Linked DNA regions of Mus musculus: regions 1 and 2 are each reported to be linked to region 3. Evidence: microRNA targets listed by miRTarBase, many of them from high-throughput screens and not tested one by one. Region 3 holds a microRNA gene; each other region holds the end of a gene's coding sequence.
Evidence for each region. Region 3 holds the annotated microRNA mmu-miR-672-3p (ACACACAGUCACUAUCUUCGA, at 3,873-3,893, opposite strand). A microRNA usually pairs through its seed, bases 2 to 8, with sites in the 3' UTR of a target mRNA and lowers its output. Matches are read on the target gene's strand: a 7mer-m8 pairs with bases 2 to 8, a 7mer-A1 pairs with bases 2 to 7 and ends in A, and an 8mer does both.

Region 1: the mRNA of Cavin3 is a reported target of mmu-miR-672-3p. The part of its 3' UTR that is shown has no 7-base or 8-base seed match.
Region 2: the mRNA of Enah is a reported target of mmu-miR-672-3p. Seed matches in the 3' UTR shown: 7mer-A1 at 2,190-2,196, 7mer-m8 at 3,188-3,194, 7mer-m8 at 3,800-3,806, 7mer-m8 at 4,124-4,130, 7mer-m8 at 4,150-4,156, 7mer-m8 at 4,158-4,164 and 3 more.

What each region holds. Positions count from the first base shown.
Region 1 is chr7:105,474,516-105,481,618 of GRCm38, reverse strand. Cavin3 (caveolae associated 3) reads left to right here. Exons shown (of 2, transcript NM_028444.1): 2 at 400-1,003. The coding sequence ends at 798. Among named protein-coding and RNA genes, the nearest start is that of Cavin3, 4.1 kb to the left of the region's middle.
Region 2 is chr1:181,899,431-181,906,533 of GRCm38, reverse strand. Enah (ENAH actin regulator) reads left to right here. Exons shown (of 15, transcript NM_010135.3): 14 at 90-147; 15 at 637-7,103. The coding sequence ends at 674. Among named protein-coding and RNA genes, the nearest start is that of Gm33669, 25 kb to the right of the region's middle.
Region 3 is chrX:104,112,320-104,119,440 of GRCm38, forward strand. It overlaps Mir672 (microRNA 672), which reads right to left and starts at 3,955; the gene lies at 3,856-3,955. All of the region lies in intron 1 of Nexmif (neurite extension and migration factor), which reads right to left.

The sequences.
Region 1 (7,103 bases), not on the chromosome of region 3:
TCACAACAGCGACCTTATCCCTTTCTCACTCCCAGCCTGGCCAACCCACGCCCTCCCTAACTCAGGCCAGTCTGCGGATTTGGTCAGTCGCACCCACATGGAACTAACTGTTAGGTGTTACTCTGCCTCCTCCAAGCGCCTATACAGCTGTTACACTCTACACGGTTTCATCCACTTTGCAAACTTGCAAGGTCCACTTTCCCCCTCTTTGCTCATCTCTCTGCTCCTCCATCCTCCCCATCCCCCATCTTCCCATTCCTCTATTTTGGCCCCAATTCCTAGTGCAGATGCAAAGGGTGGAGTAGCTTCCCTTGGCGGGCGGGCAAGAGAGTTTCAGGCTGGTCCTGGCTAAGTGCCAGGGTCAAATCAGAGAATCAAAAGCTGTGTCATCACATTTAGGAGGAGACTGAAATTCCAGCCCGCGCCTTCCAGAAAGTCCCAGAGCTCTTGGGTCCGGAGGACCAGTTGGTGCTGGGCCCAGATCAGCCAGAGGATGAAGTTGGAGAGAGTTCTGAAGAGGAGCCAGTGGAGTCCAGGGCTCAGCGGCTGCGCCGCACTGGTTTACAGAAAGTTCAAAGCCTGAAAAGGGCTCTTTCCAGTCGTAAAGCAGCACAGCCCACACCAGTCAAGCCGCCACGCGTAGGGCCTGTCCGGAGCTCTGAAGGCCCATCAGAAGGCCAGCCTGCAGCTCAGCCTGAAATGGAGTCCGAGCTCGAGACTGCCCTGGAGCCAGAACCTCCTCAACCTACCAAGGAAGATCCTGAGAAACCCGTGCTTCAAATAGAGAGCGCAGCCTGATCCCTGGGGCTGCCTGTCCCATTCGGTGCTTAAGCCTTGTCCCAAAATAAGTACTTATAGAGTGCAGCACTTACATCCAAATAAGGAGAGAATCCTGCATCCACTGCCCAGCTCCAAAGCTTCCTTCCTGGCTTTCCAGTCTGAACCCTGTGTCCTCTGACAGAGGAGCTTTCAGCCTAATTTAGGTTCACCACCAATAAAAGCAATTTTCTCTAACCCAGACTCAATGAGAAAGGGCGAGCGACAATGCGCATGGCTTGGGGAAGGAATGGGCTGAATGACAAACGTTCTCACTTTTCACCGAATCCTGGGTCCTCCATTGGCACGGAGAAATATTGGCCACTTACTGCTTAAATACATTCCTCTTGGGGACACATAAGTACAACTTTGGGGCCCGGCCTGGGGCGGGGCAGTATGCAGTTCTTTGAAGAAAACGCCCTAGTTAATGTCAGCTAATGCACTCTTCCTACTTCTGGTGTCTGACACTCACAGACAGCTCACACCATTGGGTTGGGGTGCATTTAGAAAGCAATCCAAAAACAGCCCTTGGTCTACTTTCCTTCTGCCAACAAAACAAAACAAAGCACACAAAGCACTCATTGTTTTCAAAACCAAATGAGTAATCTGATAGGTTGAGAGAATCCAGGCCTCCTAGAATCGAGCATCTCTCACAATGAGTGTGACGAACTGACTGTGTCTTCATGTCAATGCATAAAATAAAAAAAAAATAGGACCTCCATGTTTTTTAGATCTTGTTAGGGTTTGAATCTGAAAGGTTCCCTGAAGGCTCATTGTTGGGAGCTTGCTAGCTTTCTGTGTGTGTGTATGTGTGTGTGTGTGTGTTAGAATGGCTTGTGATCTAATCAATGGAGTATGCCCTTGATTTATCCATAGTATGTCAGTCTTATTGGGAGACAGAGAAAAGAAGGAGGTTAGACTTAGTTGGAGAAAGCAGACAGATGGATGCTATGCCTGCTGCCACAATCTGCCTCATTTCAGGCCAAAAGCCGGCACCCATTTTAAAAATTTAAAAACCAATCTTCTCAGTAGTTAGTATAGCATGCAGAATTAATTTCCCACTTGATGCATAATAGAGAAACTGCAGTGTTAATTCCCCGTTGAGGGGACATGTCATGTCAGTCTCATGGACTTTCAAATATTCTGGAATGTTTGATGTTCACCACCATTTATGTGGGCACTCCCATATCCAGCACAAGCGCAGTCATCATAAATACCAGTGGGCACGGTGTGTGTGTGTGTGTGTGTGTGTGTGTGTGTGTGATGGATTAGCTACTACCTTCTTAGGAAAGGGGTCTGCGTGTAAGCCCAGCTGCTTGAAGTCGGCCAAGCTTCTCACTCCTTGGCCAGGTAGGGCAGAAGCACAGCTGGTTGCTCATGATGTCTTACTACGGGTGTACAGATAGCAGCTGGCCCACACATCTGGTGGAGCTGCTATGGGTGCTGTGACTAGATCTGAGGAATGGCTGAGACACCAGTGGGTACTTCTGGGCCAGATGGCACACACAGAAGACGTGCATGTGATTGGGAGACAACCTGCTCTCTTATGTCACTTAAGGGACAGAAGTTGCCCAGTGACTCTGGAAGTTTGTTTTTTATCATATTAAACAAACAAACAGAAGCATTGTATCTCTGCATATGTGTGGAGGTTATAGGACAACTTTTCCTGGTTGCTCTCTTTTCCCGCTGTGGGAACTGAACTCGGATCACCAGGTTTATGCACACACACATTCCTACCCCTGGGGCCATCCTTGGCCCTTTATTTTCTAATTTAAAACATTCTTTTTAGGTTTATTTTCTGTGTTCTGCCTGCATGTATGTATGTGCACCACATGTATGCCTAATGCCCACAGAAGCCAGAAGAGAGCACTGGGACTTCTGGAACTGAGTGACAGATAGTTGTGAGCTAGGAACTGAACCCAGGTCCTCTGCAAGAGCAATGGATGTCCTTAACTGCTGAACCATCTCTCCAGCTCCTATATTCTTTTATAGCTTTTGAATAAGCTCCATTCAAAACCAACAGTCATCTATTGAGTGCCTACTATGTGGCAGGCCCTGCTGAGTATGATTCAGAATTAAAGTTAAGCTTTCTGGTTGGATAAACGATTCTGTCGCTCCCTCACACAAGGAAGCAATGATCATGGACTTGACTCCCCGTTCACATTCTTATCTGTAGCCCTTTTAGGCAGTCTTTCACGGGACCAGGGTTAGACTGCCTGCCATATCCTGCCAGTCTCCCGATTCACCCCCTTATTGTCTCTTATCACCTTCACAATAGAGCTAAAGCTTCCCACTGTCCCTGAAGACCTCTTGTGAGTTGGTTCCTTCTGTCTCTTGCTGGGTGTCCTCACGCAAGACGGTCTCTGGTTAAAAACTCCGAGCACTGAAATGATGTCACAAGTGGGAGATCACACCTCACCTCATGTGACAGGTCACTATGGGAATGCTGTTGCACCAAATGTTTTATACAGAAATTCCCTTCAAGCTATGCTTATGAACTGCATGAAAACACAAGCATGTGGGCTCAGGGTCCAGCCCCAAGAGCTCTCATTGTACTGAAACTATGTTGTCGTGTTGAGCTACGTGATCTAAATCTCATCTCCTAGAAAACTCAGCAAGGCACACCTGTTTCAGGGTCCAGAGCACTACTTGCTCAGTCCTCAATGCTCTATGACCTGGTCGTGGTTGTGGTTGCTACCTCACCCCACTCTGCCAGACTGACAACTGCACTGGAGGAAGTTCCACTCATTGTTTTTGTGCTGCTGGTGCTCCTTCTGACCACATGGTGTCACTATTGGGGTACCAGTGTCCTAGCTGCTGCTTCATCCAACATTCCACAACTCTGTCAGCTTGGTTTGACTTTCCAGAAAGGGAACAGTTGATTCACTTGACTTTGTTGGTCTGGGGCACAGGGGGAAATTGGAGGCTCCTCCTGCAGGCTCCCAAACCTTAGCATTCACACCACACCACACCACACCACACCACACCACACCACACCACACCACACCAGGTTGCTGCCTTTACTTTCAGAAATCTGCCACTCACAGGGACAGGAAAAATAAAGCCTCGACTTTTCAAATCCCTAGGAATCCACCTGACTTCTCTCTTTTAACTCAAAACAAAAGGAAGGCCTTAGAAGAATATTTTGTACCCAAAAGGTCTAGGTTCTTAATTTCCAGAAATTTCTAGAAACCCAAAGACTTGGCGAACTTCCAAGAAGGTAGAATGTTAGTTTTCATTTTTTCCTAATTGGTCTACAGTAGCAAATAATTGAATCAAATGAAAACAAAATTAGCTCTGTTTCTTAATAGGCCACTTGGTTACATTATGTTCTCAATTGTCACAGTTACAGTAATTGCTAATGAGGTTATAGATGCAAAGGCAGAGAGGCACAGGCCGAGCACCAGCTGCCCCACAGTGCAGCACAGACAGACACAGCTGCTGTAAGCAGGTGGACACACACCGATGGACCACTAAATTTCAGAGGTTGGCTCTCAGATCTTTAGGCCAGAAATGGAGATGTATTTGCTGATGCAGCATGATTCAGCTGAAATAGCGAAGTTCAAGAAAGATTGGTGAACTCTACTGCTAGATTCATTAATGTCCTTAAGCAATCTAACTGCCGAGTAAGCCAGAGAGAACATTTTTCATCTTGCCACAGAGCCTACGAGAGACGTCAGACAGATCATAGAGCATATAAAGATAATAAGTAAGGTGACCGAGCCTGTTTTCTGATGGGATATTTCTTCTACAGCAATAAAGAATACATGCGCTCATGGTGAGGAATTTCTCCCCTGAGTAAATACAGGAAATCCTTTGGGCTTTTCTTTCTTGTAAGTAGAGGACTCATAACCCCAGTCCTGAAGACCCCTCAAGGTCATTGTGTCCACTAGAGTGTCTTGCTCAGTCTTGTCTATTTTTATCTGGTCTGTGTTTGAGAAAGCCCGGAGTCCAGGAGCTCACTATCTTCCTCCCATCAACTCTCTTTTTAGACAACGTAACTGACAGCAGTGGTTAGTTTTCTGTCAACCTGACCCAGGTAGAATCTTCTGGAAAGAGAGAACCTTAATTGAGATTGACCTCCAGGCAGGTCAGTGGGGTCACTTTCTTGATTAATGATTGATGTGGGAGGACCTATCTTAGCGTGGGCAATGTCACCTCTGGGTAATTAGTCCTGGGTTGTTTAATATGGTGACCTGCAAGCTATAATTGAAGGTACTCTAGCCAGCTTGGGCCTGGCAAACATGGCTCTGGCAGACCTTGACCTTCTTTTGCATCACCTCTGCCTTGCTAAAAGCTGTTAGATTACATCCCTAAAGCTAGTCACCAAGGTATATGCCTTTATTTGGTCACTTCCTCCTCCTGAGACTGCCGAGCAAAGCCCAGCTGTCAAAGTATTGGAGTCCAGCAATCAAAAGCCCCTCTTTGGCTCACCTAATTGACATGCCCAATCAAGATACACCACTGAATCCTAGCCCATTCGAACGCAGACCTCCCCTTTTTCTCTTCTTAAAAACTACACCTGCAAGGTCGTTTGTTGCTGTTTTTCTGCCTGGGGTAGAAAGCAGCGACATTAACTTTTCTTCCTCGATTAATAGAGGGTTTCTCTGTGAAAACAGGTGTTTGGGTGTGGTTTCTACTTAATCAGTGTGTGTGTGTGTGTGTGTGTGTGTGTGTGTGTGTGTGTGTGTGGTGTGTGTGGTGTGTGTGGTGTGTGTGTGTGTGTGTGTGTGTGTGTGTGTGTGGTGTGTGTGTGTGTGTGTGTGGTGTGTGTGTGTGGTGTGTGTGTGTGTGTGTGTGTGTGTGGTGTGTGTGTGTGTGTGTGTGTGTGTGTGTGTGTGTGCGCGCGCGCGCATGCGTGCGCTTGTGTTTCTTTAACAGTATAGTAAACCCTTTCCTCCTTAGGTGGCTTTTGGTCACAGTGTTTATCACAGCAATAGTAAGCACACTAGGGCAGTGACTGAAGCATTTCCTATCTCCTGAGGTCAGAATCTCTTACTATGATTCCCGTCCGTGGCAGTTGCTTCTCCTCCTGGGATATGTTGGAGGAGGCCTACTATATATAGCAGGGTACACCGGGCTGAGTCATCTAGGACTTCCCCAATCTCTCCTCAGCCCAGTCATTATTTGTCCTTGTTTTGTGTTCTTTTAAGCCTTGGCTTTTTCCTGTGGATTGTTTTAACAAACATGTTTTAAACTGGTAGGTGTCCAGCTGCCATCGGAGCATAGCTTTCATATTCAAAGACATCTGGGCTTCATGGCTGGCAATTGCCAATTTTCTTTACCAGGTCTGTTATGAGAATTAAAAAAAAAGACTGTTTAACTTGGGGTGAGGATAGCACGCTGGTGGATCATTTGCTCAGCATGAGGTGCTAGATTCAATTCCTAGTACTGGGAAAAAAAATACTGTTCTTTTGATATTTGTGGCTTCTTGGGAGGTTAAGGCAAGAAAATTACTGAGTTAAAGGGCATGAGAGCCTACAAGACCCTGTCTGGAAAAGCCCCCTTCCTGAAAAGGATGAGGCCTTTATGGAGTTCACATGAACCTTGCCTTTGTAACAGAAGTTGCTGTACTTGAGAGTCGGGGCTTCCCTATGTAGTCCAGCCTGTCCCTGAGTTCTCAGTTCTCCTGCATAGACTCCTGAGTGGCACCATGCCCACCTTGTAATACAGTTTGGAGTTAAGTGCTCTGTTCCATCAGGGGTGGCCATTACAGGGAAAGCCTCTTAAGGCCTTCAGCAGTCTTCATGCCAACCTGACTTCCTTTTCTAGTTGCTGACTCTTGTTGAATTACTCCTTTGCCTGGGGCTAGAAGAGTCCTAAATGAGTCTATTTTGACTCATGGGCACAGCCACGTCCAGAACTCCAAGGCCAAGTTGACAAAGCTGTTACCCATATGGGCCAGGCTCAAGAGGAGTGGCAAAGCTTTCCTGGGGAATCGGAGTAGGGTGTTTATGGACAATTGATCACGAGTGTTTATGGACATTGATCAGTGTGTGCAACTGCAGCTTCCTGCTCCAGGATGTTTACAGCCTGAGGCTGCTCACCTAAGGAGACTTTCTCCCCAAACTAGCCAAGCCTCCCGTGGTGTACCTAATGAACACTCTGAGGGTTCCAGACTGGGGAGGTATCAGTTAGAGCATCCCACTTGATCCCAGCTTCACTATACATGTGTCTGTTTGTCTGTCTTGTCTTCATTCTTCTGTCTGTGTGTCTGTTCCTTTTTCATTCAACGCCCCAGTCAGGGATCTGGGTCCTAAGCCATGTGGATCTTGACATTTCTTTTT
Region 2 (7,103 bases), not on the chromosome of region 3:
CTAACTTACCTGAACAAGAAACCTCTTAGACATCCCTTCATTTTTGTTGGTTTTGCTTTGTTCCCTGGTGTTTTCTCTTGATACCTCAGGACATTTTAGATGAGATGAGAAAAGAGCTGGCAAAGCTGAAGGAGGAGCTTATTGACGGTGAGTACCTGGCGCATGCACGTCCCTGTAGACAGCTGTGAGACTGACTTCACACTCGGGGGGGGGGGGGGGGGGGGGAGGGTTGCTAGCCTTTGCTCAGGTTGTTGGAAAGCTGCTGTATTTTTATCATTGGAGTTATTTGTAAAAATGAAAATAAACAGATTTCTAAGTGTCAAGTGTAGAATTTGGTGTAATAATACCAATCAGGCAGATTTTTCTCTCCACTCGTCCATTTCCATTGAACTGCCCTTGTTTTTGAGCCCACAGAACCAGTGTTCCTGTCTTAAATCTACAAGGGAGGGAGTAAGTGGACATAGTCGTGTGTGATTAGTATCTTTATAAATTAAACATCTGTGCAGTGAAGATGTAGATCCTGTATCTTTGTATGAAACAGTTAGAACAGAACCTTGAAAGTTGTTCAGGAGCGACCCGTTCCTCTGTATCTCCTCTGGTGGATTGACTCTGGAAACCGTTTCTTCCCTGTTGTAGCAATCAGGCAGGAGCTGAGCAAGTCGAACACTGCATAAAGAAGCAAACTACGGAGGGGCAGGACTTGAATCTGGAGAAAACAAAAATTCCTACAAACAACTCTTAACCCCCAAACTTTTAAGCTGTAAGAAGAAAATGGATACACAGTCAGGAGGGAAGCCGTCAACCTCTGAAAGCCTCAGACAGTGACTCTGGCGATCAGCTGTCCCCTCAGTGTGCTGCTTTATTCTGTCTGACCTTTACCACAGGATGGAGAATGATATTGGAGTTCCCTTAGCAGTACTAAACCCGTCAGGCAAGATCACCGTGCATTGAAATATTTTCATGTCTAGATGAGTCTGCACGTTTTCCATAATCCATTGCTAAAATAAAGACGAGAAAGGCTTCAGAGATTTTTTTCCAGAGGGCGCTGATGAAGAATTTGATTTAGTAAGTTCTGCTGTTGCGTTGTAAATGTTTCTCTCAGGTTTGTCTTCCTATCATATTTGATATTCCGTGAACACTAAGATCATAAAGGATGGAACAAACGGAGTTGTATGTGCTTTCAGAGGGTGGTGTTTAATACGAAAGGTCCCAAAATGTTTAGTCCCACTTGAGGAATTTTAGAATGATAGGAAGTCTCTCGGGTTAGCCTTCATGCAATTTTGTAGTTTAAAACATAAAGTCCGTCCAGAAATTAAAGATTTAGATGCCTTCCTAAATTGTTACAATGCTTTACCAAATCTATGACTTCTACATAACCAACAGTGGTCAAATGGAAAACATTCTATTATAGATTTACTGTAGGTTTTCAACCTTTTTTAGACATATGCATGTGGACATTTTTATAATGTAATTACAATCACCACAAAGTTAGCTTTTTTAATTACAGACAATAATGCATGTCACACTAATATGTAGTGGCCTTTTCAGGGCCTAGTCCCAGGGAAAATATTTTGTAGAATATAGGGAAGTGGGAGGAAGGGAAGGAATAACTTTTTATTTAAAGTTAATTTCTGCACTATCTTTTTTTTCTCAATTATCTGCATGAATTATAATGAAAAATATTTTGTGACTTTAATCAGTAAACATGTTAACAAAACCAAGTACTTAATCTTTTACATCATGTCTTCAGCTATTTGTATTTTAACCAGCAATTTCAACGGTCTGAAACATGATTCTGAGCGTAACATGTGAGTCCGTCTCACTGTGGAACTCACGAGTTTGATCACTGAATTTGGCAGTTATTTTCACGCGGCCCCCACAGTGCTGCAGTGCTTGGGTTCACGCTCCTGACTCTGCGGCTGCTCCTTGACCTTTGCTGTGCTAAAATACAAGAAATATCAATAATGGCAGCAACCAGGGTCACATAAGTCACTAGGTAAGGGAGACCAATGAGGAGTTCTGCAGCTTTCTTTTAATAGAACTAAAGTGAGGCTTAAGTGGTAGGGAGTGTCTGCTGTTACACCCTGAGTGTGTGTGTGTGTGTGTGTGTGTGTGTGCGCGCGCGCGCGCGCACACACACACACACGCACACAGGTGAGAGAGAGAGAGAAAGTGATCGAGCTTAAGAGTGTGTGATAGATATTATGTTCCACCCCTTTATAATTGGCAAGATTAAAATAAGGGAGAAAATTTTATATGTTGTAATGTTAGCTTTTTGGAAAATCTAGGAAATCAAAAATTCTCCAGGCTGTCCATCATGATTTATGCTTGAGTTATTAATGTGCCATATTTGCTTTGGAATCTTTGGCTATCAAAACTTTTGCTAAAAAAATAGTAGATACAATCCACTTTGATTTGCTTTCTAGATTTCCTATGTCTCAGCTGTAAAGCAAAGCTTGATGAGAGTAGTTTTCTAAACCCTGCAGTTTGCAGCTAACCCCACTGCAGAGCCGTGTGAATGAGGGGTTTTGTTAAGAGTGTTTGTTTCTGTAGAAACTTCATCTTTAGATTAAAGTGTGAGGGATGAGCGGTCATAAGTCAATTCTGTGGCTTTCTCTACCCATCAGTCGTCGTCTCGCAGGAATAGTAAAGGCATTAAGGATGCGGCAAGCATGTACGCTGTTCTAAAAGAAGTATGCATCTCATTTACTGTTGAACGTTTGATTACGCAACTACTTTGATTGTGTACGTGTGTACATCCCTTACAGATCTGATCAAAAATCGCTTTTCATTTTGTTGCTAATGTTAAATAGTCTGTAGTACGTAGAGTACTGGGTCTAGATGGTCCAAAGTGAGACAAAAATGCTGAAGTCAAATGCTAAGTCCTAAACAAAGCTGGTTTATGCACTAAACGTTTTGTGCCTTGGTCTAATATTTAACACAATGTCTGTAAAAATGACAAAAAAAGAAAAAAAAAGAACCGACATTGGCTCATGCTGTATCTGTATCCTCCATGATAGTACGTCCTCCCACATGACTAAATGTGCTCCTACCTGGATGCTTCACTGTCACCCAGGACAGTCGTGTCGTCGCTAGAGATTTCAGTGACTACAATCGCAAGCTAAAGCTTGAGTTGTTTTCCCAAAACTGTTCCTTGGAACCATATTGTGACGGTGGGTCCTTGCTTCTGTGTGTTGACTGTCTTCAGCTGAGTCCAGTTTAGGGATCGTCTGTGATGACAGGAAGGCTCTGCTCTCCTCAACACTGTGATCTGACCTGCGACAACTCTACAATACACTCTGAATGGCTAGCACGTCCATAGCAAACAATCTGAATGTACAAACCTTAGCGTGGTGCTGAAATCTCTTGAGAATAGTAACCGTGATCTCAAAGTCTGTTCAAAACGTGTCAATCAGAACTGAAGATGAACCGCTGATGAATGTCCGGTCCTCATGCCGCAGGCGTGTTTCCTGTCTAGGTTTTCAGTTCTCTGCTGTTACCACCATAGCTGTTCCAGTTAACTCTCCTACACACTAACTTCATTTGTGCGATTGAAATAAAATTGCAGTATGTGCATGTTTCTTGTTTGTGACACTTAGATGGTCTTCTGCAATGATGTGTTAATTCCAAACCAAGTGATACTGGGTGTGAAATCAGCACCTTAGGAAGCCCAGGGTTTCACTGTTTACAGTTTAAACATCATGTCACTGTTCTTTAAAGATTTCATCCACGTCTGGCGTAGTGGAAAACACGAAGGGAATATGTAATGATCTTTCTACCTTTTGTTTTGCAGTAAGCGCTGTGTGCCTCTTCTGTCTTACATGCTCCCAGCACAGCTTGTAGTCAATGTGGTGAAAAGTGTTTTACTCCATTCTTTTGTCCTATAACACAGTCATATATATATTTCACTTCATTTACACGGTTCATTTTTTTTCTTTATGTAATTTGCATATTAAAGGATATTGCCAAGTAATTAACTTTAAATGTAGCAGTCTGTACCCTCTACAGTGATCTCTTTATGTTGGCTTTTTATATATACTTATATATATGTCTCAGCACCTTTATCTATTACAAAGTTCCATTTTCCAAACTTGTAATTTCCTCATTAGAAGTACAACTCTGTCTGTGTGTGTGTGTGTGTGTGTGTGTCTGTGTGTCTGTGTGTGTGTGTGTGTGTGTGTGTCTGTGTCTGTGTGTCTCTGTGTGTGTGTGTGTGTGTGTGTGTGTGTGTGTGTGTGTGTGTGTGTGTGTGTGTGTGTGTGTCTTTCCCCCTTTATCAGACCTCGGCATCTCTCCCAAGCTCCTCCGTCCTCTTTGTGCTTCCTGTTCCTGGCATTAATTTGCATTTGCAACCACCTTGTGTTGCTCACTGTTGTGAAGACAGCCAGCTGATTTTTCTTTTGGTTCCAACTTACACTCCTGCTTTATCTACAAATTAAAGTCACTTAAATTCGAAAATGAATTAAGTAGCAAGTCCTAAGCTTTTCCATTTGCTTAGCTAAAATTACTGTCTCTTAACTTTTGCCCATCTTTGCAGTGAGGCTGTGAAGAATTCATGTTTGTACGATTCAGGGCTTGCCAGGCAGGGCTGCAGGAACTGTTTGATTTCTTGTCGCCATGAGAATTACTTAAGCCCTTTACCACGGTCTTTAATCCTATGGGCGTATCTGTAATCCAGCATCCTGGAGACAGAAACAGGAGGATTGTGGATCTGATGTCAGGCTGGGATGCATAGAGAAACCGTGTCTAAAACAAATCAGTAAAATCCTATGGGTCGTAAGCATAAAAACGCGGAGCATAAAGGAACTCAAGATGAACATAAAAAGCAGAGTGTAGGGGGGTGTCTGTCCCTTTATCACACTAGAAAGCCCACTTCCAAAGGCAGAATAGTTTTCACTTCCAGACTCAACCTGTTCTGGTGACGGCATTTTTGTTTTTAATACAATTGGTATCTGATCATCTCCCCAGAGCTCTGTGACTCTTTGGTGAGAGGCATTTACTGTTTTATAAGTTCAGTTCCTTTTTTTTTTTTTTTTTAATCAAAACTTGTTGTATTTTAAAGAATCTGACTAAACAGTTATTCTGGTCAGTACTTCATGTGAAGATCCTGGAGAACATGTACGTACAGGAATCGCTTTCAGTTAAGCATACGCCTGTTTGAGAAACTAAAATCGTCAATCTCTCAAGAGAAGCCATTTATTTATGCCAAATATTCTTGGGGTTGAGGGCGGGGATATGATATAGTCTTTCTATTCCCAACATCAAAATAGGCTCTGCACTAAATCTTGTTCCCTTATGTTTACCTTGGTGGCTTTTTGAAGTACCAAGCTTCTTTCTAAAGCCTCTTTGTGGGTGAATGTGAGAATGAGCATGTAGAAACCAGTGTTCAACCTTGGCACCCACCTGCTTTGAGACAGGGTCACAAATTCAGCTAGACCTGCTGGCAGTGAGCCTCAGGAGATCCTGTCTGCTGCTTGCTGCTGGGTTGCCTAGCTTGTACCACCACGCCCAGCTGCTCTGTTTTACATGGATTCTGGAATCTTAACTGATGACCTTGTGCTTGCAAGGGAGGCAGACACTCTTCCAATTCAGCTAGCTTTCTAGCCCTGCCCCCCCCCTTTTTTTTTTCTTTATATCTTAATGCTGGAACAATGAAAGATTCAAAATTTAAACATTAAGATTGATTAGTTGATTAGAAAAGAAAGTAAAATGGTACAGTAAAATTACCATTTACAGACAGGGGCCTTCTATCGGTACAATATTAATGAATACCTCACATAAGGAAGATGGGGCTTTAGGATAAATTTGAAAATTGTTGAAGTATGAACTATGTTAATTTGTAAAGCAACCGTCACTGAAGGGTAGAAAGTGACTTGGTTACTGTGACTTGATGTTAAAAAGAATTTTCTACAATCATTGGTTCTATTTGTTGAAATTGTAAAGATAGGGATTGTGTGAGGAGGAGAGGGTTTGGGAAAGGGCGTTTCCCTTCGGTTATAGATGCTCTGTTGTAGAACTCCCTGAGCACCTGTAGGTTTCCAGTGCTTGCTCATTAACATAGAGAATAACTGAAAACTGAAGCTTTGGTTAAGTGCTTGAACCAGAGATCAGTCACCACACCCTACCTAGTTTGAAGCTTACTGGGTATTCCAATAAAGAGCTTTTAGAAGTTTTTGGTGTGGAACCCCAGGATTCCTGGATAAAGGAGGCCCAGATAAGAGCGGAGAGGGAGGAGTACTTGACTCTCTTGAGTTAGGAAACTCAAGAGCATGGTGAACTCATCACTAAATCCAGCCTTTTCTAAACAAAAATTAAACAGAGTTAAAAGAATTTCACATTCTAATAAAAGTTAGAAATGTCCATGCACTTCATTGAAGAGCTATTTGTAAGTGACAGTCTCCATTTAGCCCGTAAATATGTCTCAGCTGCCCCCTTCTGAGTCCAGAAAGATGTCCTTAGCAGTAGAAACAGACTCCTTCAAAAGAAAATTACATGTCTAATACAGGCAGTGAGTGATGTTGCCGATAGATAGGGTGTTAGCCGGCGCTGGGTGTCGCAAAGGAAATAAAACCCCAGGGAAAGAAGTGTGCATCGAGTCTGGCTCTGGGATTCATCCCTGTTGTGGTGGGAATACACAGTGTGTATGAGGTCCCTAGTATTGAAAAAATCAAAATGCAGCTTTAATCATGAAGTAAGTAACACAGGAACCTTTTTCAAGTTTGATACCTAAGGAAAAAAAAATGTTTGAAATTCAATATTCTCTAGTCAATTCTGTCTACCCAGCCTTCCTATAAAGTTTTGGTTTGTTTTTGTTTTGTTGTTTTTAAGATTTTAAACTTCTTTTAGTAGAGACATAGAAGATTGTCATTCCATGGCCAAGTTTCACCTAGGTGAGTTTTGGCATTTGATATTCTAACTTCTGGAATTTCTCTGAGTATTTTGATCCTCAGTTCTGAGGTCTGTCTGTTTGGGGGTGGGGCGGTTGTCTTTAAACCACAAGCCCTACATGATGCCAAAGCCACCAGGCCTCTCTTGTGTATCAGGAGTAGAACTAAGTTGGCTTAGCCCTTTGGGGACCAACCTTGTTGCGTAGTGTGTGGTAC
Region 3 (7,121 bases):
TATAAAACATAAATGATGTAACTGCACTGAGGGATATAAAGCAGATTTTACTTGAGAAAATTATGTTTTGACACAAAATTGTAAGGATAAATAACTGAACATAAACATTATTCTTGTCCATTTGGTTCTCATAGGGACAATAGGTCAATTCTGAAACTGTTTTATATGTGTTGGTATTGAAGAAATAAACAAATGTATAGTAGGTGTTAGAACACAGTTTTCTCACTGTTAGAGAAGAAATTTATAGGTAAACAGGAATAGAAGACTAGTACTGGATTCATTCATGGTATTGATATGAGGTCATATTTAGCTTAATATACATAAAATAGATTGATAGACAATTATAGATGCATATGTATATATAGAATAGTTCAGCTATATATTACTTAAGTTGTCCATTGAGAAAGTACAGAAACAATGATAGTTGGTAAGATTGGCTCAGATCTTGGTTTTCAAATACATTGTCCCCCCCAATCAATTAATATTCCTTAAAGAAACTGCTGGTGTGAGTTTGGAGTATTTTGAAGTACCAGAAAATTATCAATCTAAGAAGATAAAATTCAAGCTGCATGTCAAGAGGCTACAGAAGCTAATCTGAAAGAATCACTTACGGTCAAAGTAAGAACATTGTGAGCAACAGAACAGATAAGCTAACATCCAAAACACTTCTACCTTCATGCACAGGAATCAAATAGCAGTCAACAAAAGTTGATATTCTTTAAAAAGAACTCCAAATTCTATATTTATTTTTTATAAATTGCTTTAGACAAAAGCGGTGCACACTATTAATCCCAGCACTTAAGAGGCAGAGGCAGGTGGATCTCTGTGAGTTTGAGGTCAGCCTGGTCTACAAAGTGAGTTTCAAACAGTAGTGAGTTCCAGGACAGTCACAACTATACAGTAAGACATTGTCTTAGAAAAACATGAATTATATTTCTACACATGTAAATATATACAAGTATTCTTTATTTCAAGGAGGTTGAACTTAGGTGTGAGTGAATTTCTGAAGCATAGAGAACAGAAAAGAAAAAAACTTCAACTTTCTATTGTGTGAACATGGCAAACCATATTATCAAAGTTAACTACTGATACTGTGTACCACTTTATATATACCTTGATAGTAATGACACTTCATCTCTGTAGTATTTTTTTCAAAACTCACAACAAATTGAGGGACATTGTACAAAACATCTTACAGGTAAACCTAAAAAACTGGCACAGATGAGAAAACTAAGGAAATAGGAAGATCAAAGATTTTCAGTTATCTCTGATCCTGATTTTCTAGATGCTAGCATAGAAAACTGATAAAATCTGGGGTTTTATTTTGAAATTATACCACAGCAATATAAGAGAAAAGAGACAATGATCATGATTTTTTGTACATTGCAATTTTTTATAAATATAGAATTATTCCAATTATTAAAAATTAAACTATAATGGCATACATGAAACATTCACACTCACAAGAGTTCATAGCTTAAACAGTATCTGTTAGATTCCCCCTTTGCATAGGAGGGAAGAATAATCTCTCTTGAAGCCAGAAATTCACTATGTGACTGTGACCTTGAACAATATCCAATTCTAGGCTTGAATTTTCAATATGTACCATAAGGGATTGAACAAAAATGTCTGAAAGGCCAATTCAGCTCTATCCACTCTGGGATTCTTTTTGGCTATGTCAGAAGCTGGAACAGAGACCCAAATCTTCCCTAGGGAGTTGTTTAACAAAACCATCTGCTTTACTAATACAAGATCAAAGTAGAATGTTCAATTTGCCTTCCAGCCACCAGGAATCCTATAGAAATGATTTGTTAAGAAGCAGAATGAAACTTCTATGGTTTTAAATCTCCTATCTGTTTTGTGTTCTCTAGGTGTCTTAATCGGGATTTCTATTCCTGCACAAACATCATGACCAAGAAGCAAGTTGGGGAGGAAAGGGTTTATTCAGCTTACACTTCCATTCTGCTGTTCATCACCAAGGAAGTCAGGACTGGAACTCAAGCAGGTCAGGACGCAGGAGTTGATGCAGAGGCAATGGAGGGATGTTCTTTACTGGCTTGCTTCCCCTGGCTTGCTCAGCCTGCTCTCTTACAGAACCAAGACTACCAGCCCAGAGATGGTCCCACCCACAAGGGGCCTTTCCCCCTTGATCACTGAGAAAATGCCTTACAGCTGGATTTTGTGGAGGCATTTCCTCAACTGAAGCTCCTTTCTCTGTGATAACTCCAGCTGTGTCAAGTTGACACCCAATACCAGCCAGTACACTAGGAAATGAGGGCAAAGTGAAAGCCAATATATAAGCGTGGTTTAAGAAAGGAAAATGGGGAGCTGGAGAGATACTCAGCTGGTAAGAGCACTGACTGCTCTTCCGAAGGTCCTGAGTTTAAATCCCAGCAAACACATGGTGGCTCACAAATATCTGTAATGAGAACTTATGCCCTCTTCTGGTGAGTCTGAAGACAGCTACAGTGTGCCACACCCACTCCAGTAAAAACTGCCTGACAGGCCCAAAAGCTTGGCTACAGTCATGAGGCATAAAGTTTTATGGAAACTTGTCTCCTGGAAAGTTTCTGGTGTCCCATAAACAGATGTGTTTCAGATTCGTCCTTGCAATAGTTGGCGAATGGTTCTGTGTGCTTTCTTTCAGTATTGTTTTATTATAGGTGCCTCCAAGGAATGATTTGACAAATACCTAAATTAGGTTGAACTTTGCTTCCTGGTCTTCACCAACGTCCTAGGCAGTCCTTGAGCTGACCCTGGGCTTGGAATTTAGTAAGAATGTTATCTATTCAGACGAATTGCCTCCAGTATTGAAAGAGAGATAGCAAAAGAAATCGGGCGTTACTATCTACTACATATAGTTAGAAATTTCAGGGCAAGCTTAGCAAAGTAAGTTTAGAATTCTTATTATAGTTATATATGTCAGACTACATTACTTAATAGAAGAAAGTCCCTCACAAAATCACTTAGAATAACAGGCGAGTAACTCCCACATACAGGAATTTACAATTGTTTAGGAAGAAGATCGGGCTGTGATTTAAGGAGGAACTAGTGTGTTGCATTATTCATGAGAAGGTTAGCTAGAGCGGAACTCCCTAGCACATACTTTCACTAGCCCTGGGGAATAGCATAGTTAGGTATTTACTAAGAGCTGGGTGGTGGTGGGCTAAACAATAAATCAGAATTAGAACTATGGCTTGGGCGTGAAAGCCCTTGCCCCAGGAGTGTAACGACCTCACACCTGGCTTCTAAGACTATAGCTGACCTTAGATAGAGCTGACTTTGTCTCAGTTGTTACATTGCCTAGTTCCTGCTGGTCTTTATGTAGGCATTCCTCTGTTTTGTGTAAAGAGTCATTAAGCATCAGGTAACCTCAATGTACCTTGGCTGATGTGTCACCTAACTTCCTTATTTTCTTCTGTGCTGCATAAGAGTGAGAACCTGAGCTTGGGCTCTCAGCATGTATACAATAAAAGCCAGGCATGGCTGGGAGGAAGCCAGAAACCCTAGTGAGGTAGGCACAGGAGAATCAGTCAGTCAGGTTTTCTGACTCTCGTCCTGACTCTATGGTTCTGTGAGAGACCTTAAAACAGGAACAAGGCAGAGAGTGATAACACAAGTCATTTGATGCCCTCCTTTGGCCGCTGTACACACACACACACACACACACACACACACACACACACACACACACTACTATTACTATTACTACTACTAACTTTAAAAATGAAGGTCTTTCTCTGCTCAGGCTAAACTCAGTTTATTCCAAGGAAAAACTCGACCTTCTAGAACCAGAATGTGCTAGCTTCAGATGTTGGCATTACTTTAATGGCTTAATAAGAGATGGCTGAGAAAGATGTGCACCCTCACTTTCGAAGATAGTGACTGTGTGTGATAAATATGTATACTCACACACAGTACACCAACCTCAAAACTAAAGGGCTAGATCACCATCTTAAATATTTTTATTGTATATTTTCTTTATTTACATTTCAAATGTCATCCTTGAACAACATTTAAAGCACCAAACGTTTTCTAGTCTACTCTAGCTGCCTATAGATTAGATTAGAGAAGGAAATAAATCTAAAATTCAGCAGAGATGTCCAAATCTTATCAGCCTGCAAGAAAATGAAAGAGGCTCTTCTACAGAGGGGCATGGTGGAGTGCTATTGTAATTCCAACACTCAGAATGGAGGAAGTGAGTTGAAGATAGAGTGGGTTACACAATGAGTTAGAGGCTAGCCCTAGGCTGCGTGATGAGATAATATTTTGGAAGGGAAGGGATGGGAAAGGAAGGGGAGGGGAGGGGAAGGAAGGGGAGGAGAGGAAAGGGAGGGGAGGAGGAAAGCCAGAATTCTAAGAAACATAAGGTTATTACTAACACATTAAACTTAGTAACGCTTAAACCCAACAGTTTCCCTCAGTCAGAACTTTTAGCAGTTCTCTAAGTGTGACAAACAACCACAGACACTCTGCAATTCATCTAGAGTTCATGAACTTGAAACCAAAGGGTTTTTCTTCAAAGGTTGTTTTTTTTTTTTTTTTTTGGTTTTTTTTTTTTGGTTTTTCGAGACAGGGTTTCTCTGTGTAGCCCTGGCTGTCCTGGAGCTCACTTTGTAGACCAGGCTGGCCTCAAACTCAGAAATCCGCCTGCCTCTGCCTCCCAAGTGCTGGGATTAAAGGCGTGCGCCACCACCGCCCGGCCAAAGGTTGCTTATTAAGGCAGTCTTGTACACATCTTTTTTAAAAGATTATTTATTTATTTATTTATTTATTTATTTAGACGCACCAGAAGAAGGCATCGGATCTCACTATAGATGGCTGTGAGCCACCATGTGGTTGCTGGGAACTGAACTCAGGACCTCTGGAAAAGCAGTCAGTGCTCTTAACCTCTGAACCATCTCTCCAGCCCTGTATACATTTATATAACTGTAATAAAGAGCAAGGCGAACATTTAGGACAAGTTACTATAATTTCTTTCACAATATATTTTTGTTTACTTTCTTCGAATACATCTTCTTCCAGCACAGAAGCTTCAATTATATGATATGCTGGGAACCTCGATCAAGAAAATGCCTCCTTTAATATGGCCTTTAGGCAAGTCTGTGGGGGCATTTTCTTGACTAATGACTGATATAAGAGGGCCCAGGACATGGTTGTTGGTGCTATCCCTAGGCAAGTGGTTCTGGGTTGTATAAGAAATCAGGCTGAACAAGCCAGTAAGTTACACCCCTCCATGGCCTCTGCTTTAGTTTCTGCCCTGACTTTTTTAAATGATTGACTACAAGCTATAAGCCAAAAATTCCTTTCCTCTCCAAGTAGCTTGGTCATGCTACTTAAAAACAAAATGTAATTGTTTATTTTATTAATAAATCCATAATTATAATAACTTAAAATATTTAGTTTCAATGTCCGTTTGCAACAATAACAGGCCTATGTAAAAGGAGAAATCAGAGGGAAAGATGCCTGGAAGAGAAGTATAAAGAAAAGGGAGATAGAAGGAAAAAAAGGAAAACTGGTCAGAAAAAGGAAAATAAAATAGAAAAAAAAAACAGTACAAAATGAGGTAAAAATTACCAAAATACATTATGTTTATATATGAACTTGCCAAATAACAACAATAATAATTTCAAAGGTGGGGTGGAGAGATGGCTACGCTGGGACCAGATTTCAGATTCTTAGAATTCATGGAAATACTTAGTGGGTGTGGTCATAATCCCTAGAGCAAGCTGGCTAGTGAGGGTAGCCATATCTTTTAGCTTTGGATTTGATTCAGAGACCTTGACTTGAGTTGTGGTGAAAGAACATTGAATATCAAATTGAGCTTGGACCTCCACATACATGTGTACACATGTGGACCTGTACCCCCACTCACACATGTAAGCTGCATGCAGATATACATGCATACAGTGTACATAAATGAAAAAAAGGAAACATAAAAAGAAACAAAAAAGATAATAAACTAAGGGATAGTGAAGAAACGTGTTACATGTCGTGAGTTGCCTCATGTGAGTGCTGGGAACCCAACTTCAGCTCTTTGCAACAACAGCAAGTTTTCTCTTCTTAATCTCTGAGCCATCTCTCTAGATCTCTAAATTCCTCCTTTTACTTATTTAGTTATTCATTTTTTAAGACAGAATTTCCCTATGTAGCCCTGACTGTCCTGGGACTCATAGAGATCTGCCCATGTCTGCCTCTCAAGTGCTGGGATTAAAGGCATGCACTACTATGTCAGGGATTTTTGTGGCAACCTTGTAGGAGGACCAGCAGTCTCAATTAACCTGGACCCCTGAGATCTCTCAGACACTTAGCCAACAACCAGGCAGCATACACCAGCTGATATGAGGCCCCCAACACATATAAAGCAGAGGTCTGGGTCTAGTCAGAGATGATGCACCTAACCCTCAAGAGACTGGAGGTCCTAGGGAGTTTAGAGGTCTGGTGGGGTAGTGGGTGGGGACATCCACGTGGAGACGGGGTGTGGTGGGGAGGAGGTATGGGATGTGGAGAAGTCAGAGGGTGGACCAGGAGGGGGAATAAAATCTGGAGTGTAAGTAAGTAAATAAATAAAACCATTTGTAATTCTTTAAGAATTTCATATATCTACACAATGTATTTTGATCATATTCTGGGAGGGGGAATAAAATCTGGAGTGTAAATAAATAAATAAATAAATAAACCATTTGTAATTCTTTAAGAATTTCATATATCTACACAATGTATTTTGATCATATTCATTCCCACTTGTTCCCCTAAAGCCTTCCAGATCCACCAGCCCATCCCCTCCCAATTTCATATAATGCTAAAAAAAAACCTACTCTAAGTTCAATTCGTAAGGCCATCCTCTGAAGTACACATACCCCTAAGTTCTACAGTTTAATGTTCACTCAATCTAACAGCTTTGACATATGCCATGGACCCACTTTCGTATGACTTCGCTGTCCTAAAATTTCCCTGTGCAGTATTTATTCCTTCCCCCCAAATCCTGCAATTATGAAAATTTTTATTGTCACCACAGTTTTAGTTTTCAAGCATATTGTATTAGTTGGAATTATACAGTATAAAGACTTTTCAGACTAAATTATTTTATTCAGTAATATGTATTTAAGATTTCTTTGTGT